4 linked regions of the Saccharomyces cerevisiae S288C genome follow. The protein of the gene in region 2 purifies or fractionates together with the protein of the main gene of each other region. This does not show direct contact. Each region holds a gene or a part of one and is shown on either strand. Other genes may lie near its edges. The genes, in order: RPF1, NOP15, SPB4 and NUG1.

Evidence for each region.
Region 1: the proteins of NOP15 (region 2) and RPF1 purify together in Saccharomyces cerevisiae (affinity purification with mass spectrometry; 5 studies listed by BioGRID, with this or other methods). This does not show direct contact.
Region 3: the proteins of NOP15 (region 2) and SPB4 purify together in Saccharomyces cerevisiae (affinity purification with mass spectrometry; 7 studies listed by BioGRID). This does not show direct contact.
Region 4: the proteins of NOP15 (region 2) and NUG1 purify together in Saccharomyces cerevisiae (affinity purification with mass spectrometry; 7 studies listed by BioGRID). This does not show direct contact.

Annotation. Positions count from the first base shown.
Region 1 is NC_001140.6:279,795-283,200, forward strand, and holds RPF1 (rRNA-binding ribosome biosynthesis protein RPF1), read left to right. Parts: upstream 1-1,700; coding exon 1,701-2,588; downstream 2,589-3,406. Other genes in the region: YHR086W-A (uncharacterized protein), read left to right, coding at 437-598; RTC3 (Rtc3p), read left to right, coding at 1,026-1,361; H/ACA snoRNP pseudouridylase subunit GAR1, read right to left, coding at 2,887-3,406. UniProt on the Saccharomyces cerevisiae protein: Essential protein. Required for biogenesis of the 60S ribosomal subunit.
Region 2 is NC_001146.8:416,981-420,045, forward strand, and holds NOP15 (rRNA-binding ribosome biosynthesis protein NOP15), read right to left. Parts: upstream 1,509-3,065; coding exon 846-1,508; downstream 1-845. Other genes in the region: CYB5 (Cyb5p), read right to left, coding at 1-322; YNL108C (uncharacterized protein), read right to left, coding at 2,034-2,846. UniProt on the Saccharomyces cerevisiae protein: Involved in the biogenesis of the 60S ribosomal subunit. Required for pre-rRNA processing and cytokinesis. Associates with the precursors of the 25S and 5.8S rRNAs.
Region 3 is NC_001138.5:144,227-148,914, reverse strand, and holds SPB4 (ATP-dependent RNA helicase SPB4), read left to right. Parts: upstream 1-1,980; coding exon 1,981-3,801; downstream 3,802-4,688. Other genes in the region: pseudouridine synthase DEG1, read right to left, coding at 456-1,784. UniProt on the Saccharomyces cerevisiae protein: ATP-binding RNA helicase involved in the biogenesis of 60S ribosomal subunits. Binds 90S pre-ribosomal particles and dissociates from pre-60S ribosomal particles after processing of 27SB pre-rRNA.
Region 4 is NC_001137.3:161,117-165,087, forward strand, and holds NUG1 (RNA-binding GTPase NUG1), read left to right. Parts: upstream 1-1,606; coding exon 1,607-3,169; downstream 3,170-3,971. Other genes in the region: YND1 (apyrase), read left to right, coding at 1-1,326; PAC2 (Pac2p), read left to right, coding at 3,411-3,971. UniProt on the Saccharomyces cerevisiae protein: GTPase required for 60S ribosomal subunit export to the cytoplasm.

The sequences.
Region 1 (3,406 bases), on a different chromosome or scaffold from region 2:
AGTGTTAAATTGTATTTGGTCTTAGGCTGACGGTGATATAACAGCGCTTTATTTTCTTTTTTTCATTGCTTTTTATCGTTTTCAAGATTCCATGTCCTTTTATTAAGTCTTTTTTGTATCGTTATAGTTGCGTTTTTCCTTTTGATTTTCATTTCTTTCAAGGTTATTGTTATTCTTAATTCAATTCAAGATTGTACGCTTTTAAGCATGTTTATGATTTTCCTTTATTACTTCCATTTACCTTCTTTCCATCACTACTCATTACGGCCTGTCAATTCCTTTTTTGCGTCACCTTCATTTTTTCTTCTCTGTTCTTTTCTGTATTTGTCGAAAATTTTATATTGATGTATCTTAATTTTATTTTTAGTATTATTATACTGTAAATGTTTCTTACTGTGTCAAGATTTCCCGTTGCGCTATCTTCCAAGACTACGTAATGCGTTTGTCTCTCTATTCATGTTGTCTCTGTATAGGGGCACGGCGAATTCCTACTCCGTGTCTCTTCTCCTATATCTTTACACCAAATTTGGCCCATTTTCATTCCCCTTTACGTAGTAGCGGTTTTCGGCCTGCCGGTGCTACGCGTTTCTATAGCTAGTTTCGTTTTCTCACAAATAAATCCTAGCAGGAGGAAAAGAAAGCGCAGGTTGAAACTCCGTTCAGAAGAAGAAAGCCACTCTTTGAAAATACTGCCCACGCAATTGTCCCTTTCTGACAATAAGACCCCTTACTACTAGTAAATGTTTTTATTCTCTAAGCTTCTTTTCCTCTAACTTCGACGCTAGAGCAGGCACTACCCTGTTGGGCCGTACGTAACAACAACGACCCCTTATTTAGTCGAAGGGATCGCCAGAAACAGGGAGCAAAAGATATTTAAGTGATGAGAATCAATTTCGATGATGATCACAAGCCAATGTTCTTTAAACTCAATTCTTGACTAATAAAAAAGCAGCTATCAACAAATTCATACTTTGAACAAGCTGATAAAAATAAGAAAACCATCGCATACACAAAATAAAATCAACATGTCTACTGTAACCAAATACTTTTACAAGGGTGAAAATACAGATTTGATTGTCTTCGCTGCATCCGAAGAGCTTGTAGACGAATATTTGAAAAATCCATCAATTGGTAAGCTATCTGAAGTTGTCGAACTCTTCGAAGTTTTCACTCCTCAGGACGGTAGGGGTGCCGAGGGTGAGTTGGGCGCTGCCTCCAAGGCCCAAGTGGAAAATGAGTTCGGTAAGGGCAAGAAGATCGAAGAAGTTATCGATTTGATATTGAGAAATGGTAAGCCAAACTCTACCACCTCTAGTCTCAAAACCAAAGGGGGTAACGCCGGAACCAAAGCCTACAATTGAGTAGCTTTTCCTTCTGTCTGGACAGCCTGCATTGAAATATGCAATAAGTTAAATTGGCGTGCTGCCCTGTCATAACGCATGCATTCTTCTTTTACAGTAGTAGAAAGAACAAAAAGGTGTATATTTCAATATACATATTTACGATCTATATAACGTTGTATACATTTAATTCAGTGCATTTTTCATTTTCGCGTTCGTCACACATGATTATTTATACAAAGGAAAAGTAAAATTTTTAGCGATGAGATGTAAAAAGAAATGCGATGCCATAAGCTATACTTTACGATTGAACACCTAAGGAAGAGGTAAAGCAGGCTTAATATATTGAAATACTAAAAAATGGCTCTCGGTAATGAGATAAACATCACAAACAAGCTAAAGAGGCAAGAAATTTTTGCTGATATAAAACATGAAAAAAATAAAGAGCGCCATACCATGAGAAGAAAGAGAGCTAAGGAAGAGAGAGAGAATCCGGAGCTGCGGGAGCAGAGATTAAAAGAGAACGTAACACAGACGATAGAGAACACTAGAGTGTACGATGAGACCATTAACAAGGAAGTGGAGGGAGATGAAGACGATTTGATGAGATACTTCAACAGCAATTCTAATGAGCCACCAAAGATCTTTCTGACCACAAATGTAAACGCTAAGAAGAGCGCTTATGAATTTGCTAACATTTTAATCGAAATTTTACCAAACGTCACATTTGTGAAAAGAAAATTTGGCTACAAATTGAAGGAAATATCTGATATTTGTATAAAAAGGAATTTCACTGACATCGTGATAATCAACGAGGACAAGAAAAAGGTTACTGGCCTAACATTCATACATCTGCCAGAGGGCCCAACTTTTTATTTTAAATTATCATCATTTGTTGAAGTGAAGAAAATTGTCGGTCATGGTAGACCAACTAGCCATATTCCAGAATTGATTCTAAATAATTTCCAGACCAGATTGGGTCAAACAGTAGGTAGGTTGTTTCAGTCCATTTTACCTCAGAATCCTGATATTGAAGGTCGACAAGTTATCACCCTACATAATCAAAGAGATTACATTTTCTTCAGAAGGCATCGGTATGTCTTCAAAGATAATGAAAGGGTTGGTTTGCAAGAACTGGGTCCACAATTTACCCTCAAGTTGAAAAGATTGCAAAGGGGTATTAAGGAAGAAACTGAATGGGAGCATAAACCTGAGATGGACAAAGAAAAGAAAAAGTTTTATTTATAGTGTTCCATTCGTAAACTTTGTATGGATATAATATTAAGACAACCGTAAGAACCGTGGTCGTTTGTTTAACTACGGCGGCTTCTGGTATTACTGAATTTCTCTTTTTTTCATTTTAAATCAATTTATTACAGGTAAATCAATCAAACAAATATATATATATATAGTATACAGAACAAACGGTAATTTCTTTTTTTTTTTTTCGACGTTAGACGTGCTTCGGCAGATATAGTAAGTTGGAAGAAATGAAGAATTGTGAAAGATAAAGGATGGTTTTTTTTTTTATTTTTTTCTAGCTAGATTATCTTCTACCTCCTCTGAAACCACCACGAGATCCGCCACGAGATCCTCCTCTAAATGATCCGCCACGAGATCCACCTCTGAAAGAACTGCCACCACGGCCTCCTCTGAAAGAACTACCACCACGGCCTCCTCTGAAACCTCCTCTGCTACCACCGCGACCCATTGAAGCACCACCACGGCCACCTGGGGCACCACTTCTCTTCTTCTTGTTTTTTGGTTTTGGTGGGCCTACCACCTTAGGCTTAGGTAAAAATCTTTCAATAGGCAATAGTTTGTCAGCGGCAATGTAGAATTTATCACCTTCTTTAAAACTGGTTGCTTGGACACCGTCACCACACTTGATAGTGAAAAATACTTCGTTTAATGGACCCAATATTTCGTCAACTTTACCGACTTGAGTCTTGTTTTCCAAATATATTGGCGCATTGAAATATGGAATCTTAGTGTTGATAGAACGGCAAACAATATCACCCTCACATGGATGTAGAAAAGCTCCCATTTCTAGAACAGTGTCTGGT
Region 2 (3,065 bases):
TGGCCAATATGACAACCAATGTACCACTACCTTTACTTTGGTTTTCAGAGGTAGATACCTTTTCCACAGAAACGCGCTCACTGGTCTTGTCAACGTCACCAATGTATAAACCTTTCAGTAGTCTCAATGCTTCGTCAGAATGACCGATATCGACAAAGCTTTCTGTAGCATCTTGTCCACCCAAATCCATTATAATTTCATCACCACCTGGATGTTCATCTTTGAATTGAGAAACATCGTAAACTTTGTCATCGATGATAATCCAGAAATTTTCTGGGCCATTGTGTTCGGCAACTTCTTGGTAACTGTAAACTTTAGGCATGATTGTTTGATATTTTATGTTGTAGTTGATTGATTTTCTTTACTATGAAGAAAATGAAAATCGAATTTAAATATTAACGAGGAAGCCTGAACGAAAATTTTTGAGAAAGTTTCAAAAGCTTCTTGTTCTTTATATAGTTATTGGAAAAAGGACAATATATATATTTGTTATTTATTGATATAATAACAATGCTTCTCAAATATCGCTTTTTGGCCACGAATGCGACAAAAATTTTCTCGTTATGCTAACCTCTCTCACTATCTCGATCTCGTATAGCTTTCTTTTTTGCAGCTATTGTTCTTTTTCTGGGCCGTTAAATTTTTCATCCGGAAACTCCAGGCTATTACCCGCTCCGTGATTTTGGTCGTTGAATCTTCGTAAAAGCAATCATGTAAATATCATTGAATACGGACAAACGGAACTATATTGCTGGAATTAATGATATAAATGGTTTCCCAAGTTTGCTATATCTCCTATTCTATCTTACAAAACCCTTTTCTCAGGGTGGATGAGAAGTGACAAGTCACCATTTGAATTCGATACCTGACTTGGCTAATTTTTTTATCCTTTCTTCATGTTTTTGCTTCATGTTATCCTTTAGCTGTTTTACTGGTTTGGTGATACCTTTCTCTACTAGAACTCTCTTCTTGTATTTGTACAATTTCTCGATTTTAGCTCCTTTTGGTAATACACGCACTTGTAGTAGATGACCCATCAACAAGTAATTGTTCATAGATTCTTGGGCGATCATTGCATCCTCTTTATTAACGAATTCTAAGAAGCCATAATGTCTGGAATTTCCAGTTTTCTTATTACGTGCTAATCTCACTTCTTTTAAATCACCGAATTGAGCAAAATATTTACTTAATTCCTTTTCGTGGAACCCATGTGGCAGTCTACTCACATAAATAATCCCAGAATACTCTTCAAGTGTCTTTTTATCTTTCGACTTTTTTTCATTAGCCTGCTTCTTAGGATTCAATCTTTTAATCTTGTGTGTACCGCTCTGCTCATCATCAGAAGCGGCTAAACCTTCAATTTCATCTTCATCTTTTTCGTCTTCTTCATCTGAACTGCTAGACGATGTTTCTAGAGCCAACTCTTCTTTCTCCTGTATAGGTTTTTCTTCGGTGGGTTGTTTGGTTACTGTTTCCTTGGTGGAAGTTTTGCTTGTTGACTTTACCATATCGATCTCTTTCCTCTGTTATTTTATCTCTAGAACTTAACCCTATAGAAAAGGTAGTTAATGAAGTTAAAAGTAATGGTAATCGTCTTCAAATTAAGTGATGAGATGAGATGCGATGCACTACTTCATTTTTTCTTATGGCGGAAAATTTTTCATAGTGAAAAGAAACAGGCAAAATCTGGGGGGTAACCGCATACGTCTCTGCTATGCCGTCTGTAATGAGGATGCTAAAGTTGCAATAGCTGCTATGCACATTAGAAAGGGTTTAGCAGGATAATGAGTTTTCAGAGATAGCACAAAACTCGAAAGGTTTCGGTACTACTACCTAGACAGCTCATCTTTCAATCGTTGAACCTTGAATTTTGAAGTTTAGGGATATTAAAAGATACTGTTAATTCTATCAATTTACACTAGACTTTGACATATGTATATATATATATATATTCACACAGCTTCATCATGAAATAAAAATCAAATGCAGAAGTGTATAATGAGAAGTACAGAATTCAAGACTCACTTTAGTTTTCACTCCATTTTTAGTTTTCCGCTCTCAGCTGCTCTTCTCGCTTTGATATCAGCGTCTGAACCAGCCTCAAAGGCATTCATAAACGTCCAATTCATTTCTTCCCCATTAGTTAAAAAGGAGGTGTTGCCATTCATTGTAAGTTTCCACTCTCTCTCTTCAAATGGTATACTTTCATTTTCTCCTTTCACCAGCTCAAATTTATCAATAGCACAACTTCCATTTCTTATAAAGGTGCCTTTGTTATCAATGGGCTCTTTGGCACTGGAGAATTTCAACAAGTTCATACCAAGAGCGGATTTAGTGGCTGCGTGGGTAACTATCATAATGGTCTTTACATTTGGAAATTTTCTCTCCACTCTGTCAATAAAGACAGGCCAGAATTTATGGCACCTCTCAAAAATATCTTCTTCTGTTTCACCCTTATTACTAGGAATAATACTAGGTTCCCAGTCTGGAGAGATCATGCTTGGAAAAAACTTACTCATAACTTCATGAGTAGCAGGCTCCGGGATAATGGGTCTATCAGGCTTATACCATTCTCCTACACCACGATCGACATATAATGGAATCTTTAAAGCCTCCACTGTGGGTTTACTAGTTTCTAAACAGCGGTAAAATGGGGAGGAGAAAATCATTTCTGGTTTGACATCTAATTTAGAGATATAGTTCGCCAGTTCATGTGCCTGTTCAACACCGTGTTCCGAAAGCGGGACATCGTTATCAATACCGGTGGGCGGTGGTGGATATGGTCCCTTTGGTAGCCAGTTTGACCTGTAACCATGTCTGGCAATGTATATATTTTCGATAGCCATAATTTATAGCACTATTTTAACCTCTTGTACAACTAATTGAACGTCTTACATATTGAACGAAACTGCTTTACTTCTAGGATTGTTTTCAAAGCTTTTTTATAAATTTCGAAATATCCGCTATTCGGATGACGTGATGACGCTTCGGCACCATTGATTATTTTTCCAGAGTTTAGATGTCTTCTATGTGCAACTGAACAAGTAGCCTTCGAAAGCTAGAGG
Region 3 (4,688 bases), on a different chromosome or scaffold from region 2:
CATAGTTAAAATTTTGCTTCTTGATAATGAGATGAGGTAATTACAAGAGTTCTGCTTTCCTTCCCAAACAGTTTATTTTATAGTTGGTCTCTATATCAAGTGTTGAGTAAGTAATCGAATGGAAATTACGTACTTTCAACGCAAGAGCAAGACAAAAGAAAGCCTAAAACTGTCTTTTCGTGTCGGTCGTCCAATATCATCGTAAACGTGTGTAGAGCCTTAAATTCTAATTTCTAACTTTAAATTTTTTTTGCTATTATAATACTAATTTCTAACTTTCAACCTATTTTACATCTTCGGAAAACAAAAACTATTTTTTCTTTAATTTCTTTTTTTACTTTCTATTTTTAATTTATATATTTATATTAAAAAATTTAAATTATAATTATTTTTATAGCACGTGATGAAAAGAAATATAGTCTTCAAGGTTATATTATACAGGTTTATATATTATTTTACTTATTTTTGTTGTTCTTTTTCTTGGAGTATTTAGCATTAACAACTTCGACAGGTTCCATAACGCTTCTATCCTCTAGTTTCACATAGGTACCGACTACTTTACCTCTTCCATCGCCCAAATTAATAATTGTCTTTGAGAAGTTGTTTGTATTTGCTGTGGGCAAAACATCTTTAAAAATATTGCATACTGCGGCCTTAAGTTCGTAGTGTAACGTCAATGCTTCAGTAGCTGTCGTGAATTTTATTGCCTTATAGTCATCTACAGTAGGTTCTTGCCAATCCATTTCAGGAAATTTACAATCATATAACAATAATGGTATATCATTTGCCATTTCGTAAACAGGCCTTTGAGGGGTTTTCTCAATATCAGTCAGACGCAAGACAATTTCCGGCACTTCAAGTGATTGACCAACTAAGAAAAGAATGGCCATCATGCAACGAACTTGGTGCCATAGGAATGCTGAACCAACGAGATCAAAACAATAGAAAGTTTCAGAAAGGGGAAGAATTTTTGAGCTTATTATTGTTCGTTTAAAATTGGTAATTTGTTTTGAGCCATCAAGCTTACAAAAATTCCTGAAGTCTCTCTCTCCAACAAAATATGATGCGGCTTTAGACATTTTTTCAATATTAAGGTTTTTTCCATTAAAGATGTACTTATAGTGCCGGTGAACACAGCTGAATCTTGCGTCAAAGTTAGGTGGCGGTCTGAGGCAGACAGCTGATATACGAATATCGTCGGGTAGTAATTGATTTAAAACGTGAACATAGGGTATTTCCCTGCTGTCGTTGGTCGGATCCCGCTGTTCCTCATCTGTTAAATTGGAACGGACTTCTAACGATATAACTTGGTTCATGGCGCTAACTCCCTTGTCTGTTCTGCCACATCTGCTAAATTTATAGTCTTGTAAAACCATCGAGGGAACAAGTTTACACTTATTCATGGCCTCCAAAATGGTACCCTCTACTGTAGGCAACGGTGTGTATTCCTTCTGAACAGCTAAGCCATTGTAATTCCATCCCAAATAGGCAAATCTCAAGGCGATGAACCTGGTATTATGTTTAGAAAAGTCAAACTTCTTCGGAGCCTTTTTCGCCTTGCTTCTCGTAACCTCTTCTTGCGAAATTTTGCGCTTTTTGTTATCCTCGATGTGCTGGAATTTTTCAGAATGTGGCTTATTTGCGTTTTCTAGTTCAGTGATCCTTCGTATTAGCTGCTCTTTGGACCAGTTTGCGTAAATGGAGTCCTTCTTACTAACAATAGCATTGGTACCTGTTGAAATCGCTTTCATTTTCCCAACTAGCCTTCTAATGAAATTACTCATTCAAGGGAGGTTATAGTAGGGCAGTAAAGATTGCATGTGGGCACCTCGAGAATACTATATTATTCTTTATTTTGAGCCGGCTTTTCGCTTTCAAAAATTTTTCACTGAAAAACAAAGTGAGCTTTTCAAGATGAGCTGAGCCCATTGATTTGAGGTGTAGTAAGATAATATTAAAAGCTCAGCAGCAATAAAAACAATGTCAAAGTCATTGGAATGGGATAATCTCGGGTTTTCTTTACTTCCCTGGATAAGGACAGGACTCGATGTTATGGGTTTTGAGACCATGACTCCAGTCCAAGCATCGACAATTCCCATGCTTGCTGGCAACAAGGATGTAGTAGTTGATTCTGTAACAGGCTCAGGTAAGACCGCTGCGTTTGTTATACCTGTACTAGAAAAAGTTGTAAAGGAAGAAGCGAATACATCAAAATTCAAGAAAGCACACTTCCACTCGTTAATTATTGCTCCAACAAGAGAATTGTCACGCCAAATTGAGTCTGTCGTTCTATCATTTCTGGAACATTATCCTTCCGACTTGTTCCCTATTAAATGTCAGCTCCTGGTTGGTACTAATGAAGCCACAGTTAGAGATGATGTAAGTAATTTTCTGCGGAATAGACCGCAGATTCTGATTGGAACACCTGGTAGAGTTTTGGACTTTTTACAAATGCCAGCAGTAAAGACGTCAGCATGCAGTATGGTAGTTATGGATGAAGCAGACAGATTGTTGGATATGAGTTTTATTAAGGATACCGAAAAAATTCTGAGGCTATTGCCTAAACAAAGAAGGACGGGTCTATTTTCTGCAACTATGCGTAGCGCCGGATCAGATATCTTTAAGACAGGGCTTAGAAATCCTGTCAGGATTACCGTTAACTCTAAGAACCAGGCGCCCTCCTCTTTGAAATTAAATTACTGTGTCGTAAATCCTGCCGAAAAACTACAACTTTTGGTTAGCATTTTGAATAACTACAAATTCAAGAAATGTATTGTATATTTTCCAACATGTGTGTCAGTCTCCTACTTCTACTCATTTATCCAGTATTTGGGAAAGAGGAATATTCTCGTGAATGAAGTAGAAATATTTTCCTTGCATGGAAAACTTCAAACATCGGCAAGGACAAAAACTCTAACAGCTTTTACTGATTCGCTAAGTAATTCTGTTTTATTCACAACAGATGTGGCTGCTAGAGGTATTGACATACCCGACGTTGATCTCGTCATCCAGCTTGATCCCCCTACCAATACTGATATGTTCATGCATAGATGTGGTAGAACTGGTAGAGCAAATAGAGTGGGTAAAGCAATTACGTTTCTTAATGAAGGCAGAGAAGAGGATTTTATTCCTTTCATGCAAGTTAAAAATGTGGAACTTGAAGAACTTGATTTGGAAGTAAAGGGCATAACAACAAACTTTTACGAGGACTTTAGAAATTGGATACTAGAAGATAGGGATAGATTTGATAAAGGTGTTAAAGCATATGTTGCCTTTATTAAATACTACTCAAATCATTCCGCAACTTCAATTTTTAGGCTTCAATCTTTAGATTATGTTGGTATTGCGAAATTGTATGGTCTTTTCCGCCTGCCTAGAATGCCTGAGATAACAAAGTACTTAGCCACCGAAAAACAAGAAGGGATTTTCCCAGGGAATTGGTTGGTCGATCCCCCAGTTAATATGGATGAATATAAATACAAGGACAAAAAACGTGAAAAGGAGAGACAAGAAACATTAAAAAATATAAGCCTGATTAATGATAAAAAGAAGCTGAAAAGTGAGTTGAAGAAGAAGAATTTAGCGTGGTCAGATAAAACATTGACGAAAGAACGGAAACTCGAGAGAAAGGAAAAGATGAGTTTAAAAAGGAAGGCTATAGAGGAAGAATTGAAAGCAGAAGAGCTCGATGAAAATGCTGAAGAAGAGCGTATTAAAGAGGATTGGAAAGAAATCGTTTTACAGAATAAACGGAAGAAAGTTTCCAGCAAAGCTATCCAAGGCAATTTTGACGACTTATAATTATGGAAAAAAAGTTACCTTGTTCGTAGAATCACTCAACATTCTTAACCAATGGATGATCTTGTAGCATCATAGTGAGTAAGTAGATTATTTGTGTATGCATACTTAATTTAAAATATTCTAAAACCATTATACTCCATCTTAAAGCATAATATATATCTCTTGTTCAGCATGTACTTGTAACAGGAAAAGGATATTATGTTCAGAAATAATCAAACAGCCTCAATACTGACATCAGGCAGTCGACAGGAATAACTTCAAAATAAGTTCCGATCACAACGTTATTGTAATGGAACCAATGATCGCTCATTGATTAGTATTCATATTAACACTATATTAAAATTGAGTGTGAGTAGATGGCACAAAGACTGAGAAATAATCATCAAATTTAATGGAAGCCGAAATGCAAGACTTGATAATGTAATGGAATAAAGAGTGGCGACAATAATATGAAAAAGAAAATATTAATAACATTATATAGAAATATGGGCTTCCTTTTTTAGGTTATTACATCCTTGGGAAGAATTTTTAATATACTTTGATTCCCTTTAATAACAATGGAATGCCAACAATTATCCTAACATTGACCCGTTGGTAATTAGAGGTTAAGAAGTAGTGTTAATGAAGATTAAATATGGATCTTCTTATACTATATAAGAGAAGTATAAAACACACGCTGATTTGTGTATTATTACTTATGATCAATGTAATAGTAGTTCTGGAACTTGTCATACATTTAGTTTGACTAGTCATATTACGCGTATATATAACGACCAGATCATGTCAAACCTACGGTTCTTCAATACAGATTCATTACTTTCTTTAACAGGTATATTCATACTTAAACATATATGCGGTATGTATTCATGCACGATGCAAGCATTCAA
Region 4 (3,971 bases), on a different chromosome or scaffold from region 2:
ACTCAGATTGCGTTTGCACCGCATGATTCAGGAGAAATAGCTAGACATAGAGATGACATCGCCACCATCTTCTTGAGGAGTGTTAACGGAGATTTGCAGAAATGGGACGTTTTTGTTAGTACGTGGTTAGGGTTTGGTGCCAATCAGGCTAGAAGAAGGTACTTGGCTCAGTTGATCAATACCCTTCCAGAAAACACAAATGATTACGAAAATGATGACTTCTCTACAAGGAACTTGAATGATCCATGTATGCCGCGAGGAAGCAGCACGGATTTTGAATTTAAAGATACCATATTTCACATCGCGGGTTCTGGGAATTACGAACAATGTACAAAATCTATTTATCCGTTACTTTTAAAGAACATGCCTTGTGATGACGAGCCGTGCTTGTTTAATGGTGTTCATGCTCCTCGAATAGACTTTGCCAATGACAAATTTATAGGTACTTCTGAGTACTGGTACACTGCCAACGACGTATTCAAACTTGGGGGCGAATACAACTTTGACAAATTTAGCAAAAGCCTAAGGGAGTTTTGCAATTCCAATTGGACGCAAATATTAGCGAACAGTGATAAAGGCGTGTATAATTCTATTCCGGAGAATTTTTTGAAAGATGCATGCTTTAAGGGCAATTGGGTCCTTAATATACTTCATGAAGGGTTTGATATGCCTCGAATAGATGTCGACGCAGAAAATGTCAATGACAGGCCCTTATTTCAAAGTGTGGAAAAAGTCGAAGAACGAGAGTTATCGTGGACACTAGGCAGAATTTTACTTTATGCCTCAGGTAGCATATTGGCAGGTAATGATGACTTCATGGTGGGTATTGCGCCCAGTGAAAGAAGAACTAAGCTCACTGGTAAGAAATTCATACCTGGCAAGTTACTGGAGTCTGATCAACTACGCAAGCAAAGTTCCAGCCTTTCTAATAAAGGATTTTTGATGTGGTTCGCAATTATTTGTTGCATATTTTACTTGATCTTTCATAGGTCACACATAATCAGAAGACGTTTTTCCGGTCTGTACAACATTACCAAGGACTTTAAGACAGGCATAAGGAGAAGGTTGAAATTTCTAAGGAGATCAGATCCATTTTCCAGATTGGAGGAAGGTGAACTTGGAACAGACGTAGATGGCTTCAAAGATGTGTACAGGATGAAGAGTAGCAGTATGTTTGATCTTGGTAAGAGTTCAGCCACAATGCAAAGGGAGCACGAACCACAAAGGACAGCAAGTCAGTCCGCTAATCTCGCTCCGTCAAACTTACGACCTGCGTTTTCTATGGCTGATTTTTCCAAATTTAAGGACAGTAGGCTATATGATTGAATGTGGTGGTGTATGTGCCATAAATAGAAGCGCATATACTTCTCACATAAATATATGTATATATCTAGTGAGGTGCCATAGTATTGCATTAACAGTGATTCACGTCACTCTAAACGTCGCTTCTGTTTTTTTTTTGAAATTTTTTTCTCACAGCTGCTGAAAATTTTCGAGCGAGGCGATGAGATGAGCTAATTATATCAAGAGGGAATTGTACTAGTAATACTTTGGTACACACAAGAACAAGCATATAGGTATACAGTCACGACTATAATATCATAAAATGAGAGTCAGAAAGCGCCAATCTAGAAGAACATCTACCAAGTTGAAGGAAGGTATTAAGAAGAAGGCTTCTGCCCATAGAAAAAAGGAAAAGAAGATGGCTAAGAAGGACGTTACTTGGAGATCAAGGTCTAAGAAAGACCCTGGTATTCCTTCTAACTTTCCTTATAAGGCTAAGATCTTAGAAGAAATAGAAGCCAAAAAAATGAAGGACTTAGAGGAAAGAGAGCTTGCCAAACAACAACGATTGGAGGCTAGGAAAGCTGCCAAGGAACAAGGCGTTGATGCAATGGATGAAGACATGATAGAAGACGATGAAAATGGATTAGCAGCTTTGGTTGAGTCTGCTCAGCAAGCAGCTGCTGAATATGAGGGCACACCCTCTAATGATGCAGATGTTCGTGATGATGAATTGGACGTCATTGATTATAACATTGATTTCTACGGTGAAGATGTAGAAGGCGAGTCAGAACTTGAAAAATCTAGGAAAGCTTATGACAAGATTTTCAAATCCGTTATTGATGCTTCTGATGTCATCCTATATGTTTTGGATGCCAGAGATCCAGAGAGTACAAGATCAAGAAAGGTGGAAGAAGCCGTCTTACAAAGTCAGGGTAAAAGGCTGATTTTAATACTGAACAAAGTTGATTTAATTCCCCCACATGTATTGGAACAATGGTTAAATTACTTAAAGTCTAGTTTTCCTACAATCCCATTAAGAGCTTCTTCTGGTGCAGTCAACGGAACTTCTTTCAACAGAAAGCTAAGCCAAACCACTACTGCAAGTGCACTGCTAGAGTCGCTGAAAACTTACTCTAATAACAGCAATTTGAAGAGATCTATTGTAGTGGGTGTTATCGGTTATCCAAATGTTGGTAAATCATCTGTTATCAACGCTCTTTTGGCGCGCCGTGGAGGTCAATCAAAGGCTTGCCCAGTCGGTAATGAAGCAGGTGTTACTACCTCTCTGAGAGAGATCAAAATCGACAACAAGTTGAAGATTCTAGATTCTCCTGGTATATGTTTCCCAAGCGAAAATAAGAAAAGATCGAAAGTTGAACATGAAGCTGAATTAGCTCTTCTAAATGCTCTACCGGCAAAACACATTGTTGATCCGTATCCAGCTGTCTTAATGTTGGTAAAGAGACTAGCTAAATCAGATGAAATGACAGAGAGCTTTAAAAAGCTGTATGAAATTCCTCCTATTCCTGCTAATGATGCAGATACGTTTACAAAACATTTCTTAATTCACGTCGCTCGTAAAAGAGGTAGATTAGGGAAAGGCGGTATTCCAAATCTTGCCAGTGCTGGTCTTTCGGTACTTAATGACTGGAGGGATGGTAAAATTCTTGGTTGGGTTTTACCAAATACATCGGCAGCTGCATCTCAACAAGATAAACAAAATCTAAGTACTATAAACACTGGCACTAAACAAGCTCCAATTGCAGCAAATGAATCCACCATTGTATCCGAGTGGTCCAAAGAATTTGATTTGGATGGATTATTTAGCTCTCTTGACAAGGCCATAGATGCTAGCAAAGATCAAGATACAATGATGGAATAAATAAGTCATATGTAAGGCTATTTTTATGTAAGGGGTGTTTCTTATTTTTTCTTTATCATCAAATAACATTACTGTAAATTATAGGTGTGCTTTTAAACTCATTACTATACATCTTATTTTTTTTAGTTTTACTGCCTTTTTGCTCTTTGGACAAAGAAATCATTAAAAAGTTCCAACTTTTATTATGTTTCATATATAAGATATACAAAATATAAAATGCAAAACGAATTTCAGAGATAGCATGACTTATGAAATTGGGGACAGACTCAAGATTGGTGGATATTTTTGCACCATCAAATTCATAGGTGTTATTAAGCCGTGGCCTTCGGTAAAAGCTTATGGGGTGGAATGGGACGATCACAGCCGGGGAAAACATTCTGGAACAATAGATGACATACACTATTTTGACGTTCAAATTCCTAATTCAGGATCATTTTTGAAGGAGTCTAAGATTAAATCTCCAGGTGTACGCAGAATTACGTTTTACGAAGCATTGTCAGAAAAGTATGGAGGCTCGAGTAATAACATTAATGACCTATCTATAGGTAACAAAAGGGTTGAGGGTTTGGGATTCGATGAACTAAATGCGAGAAATAAGAATTATAAGAAGTTAAGAAAAATAGCTTTGCGAGATTCCGATGTCGCTATATTGTTTCAAAATCAAGATGAGTTAAACCGTGTAATACAAAATTGTGTGAACGTCAAGGACCTTGATTTATCGCTTAATCTATTCACGAATATCAACTCTTTATGTGAGTTCATAGAACCTTTGAAGAACTTGGAGAGCCTTAATATATCTCAA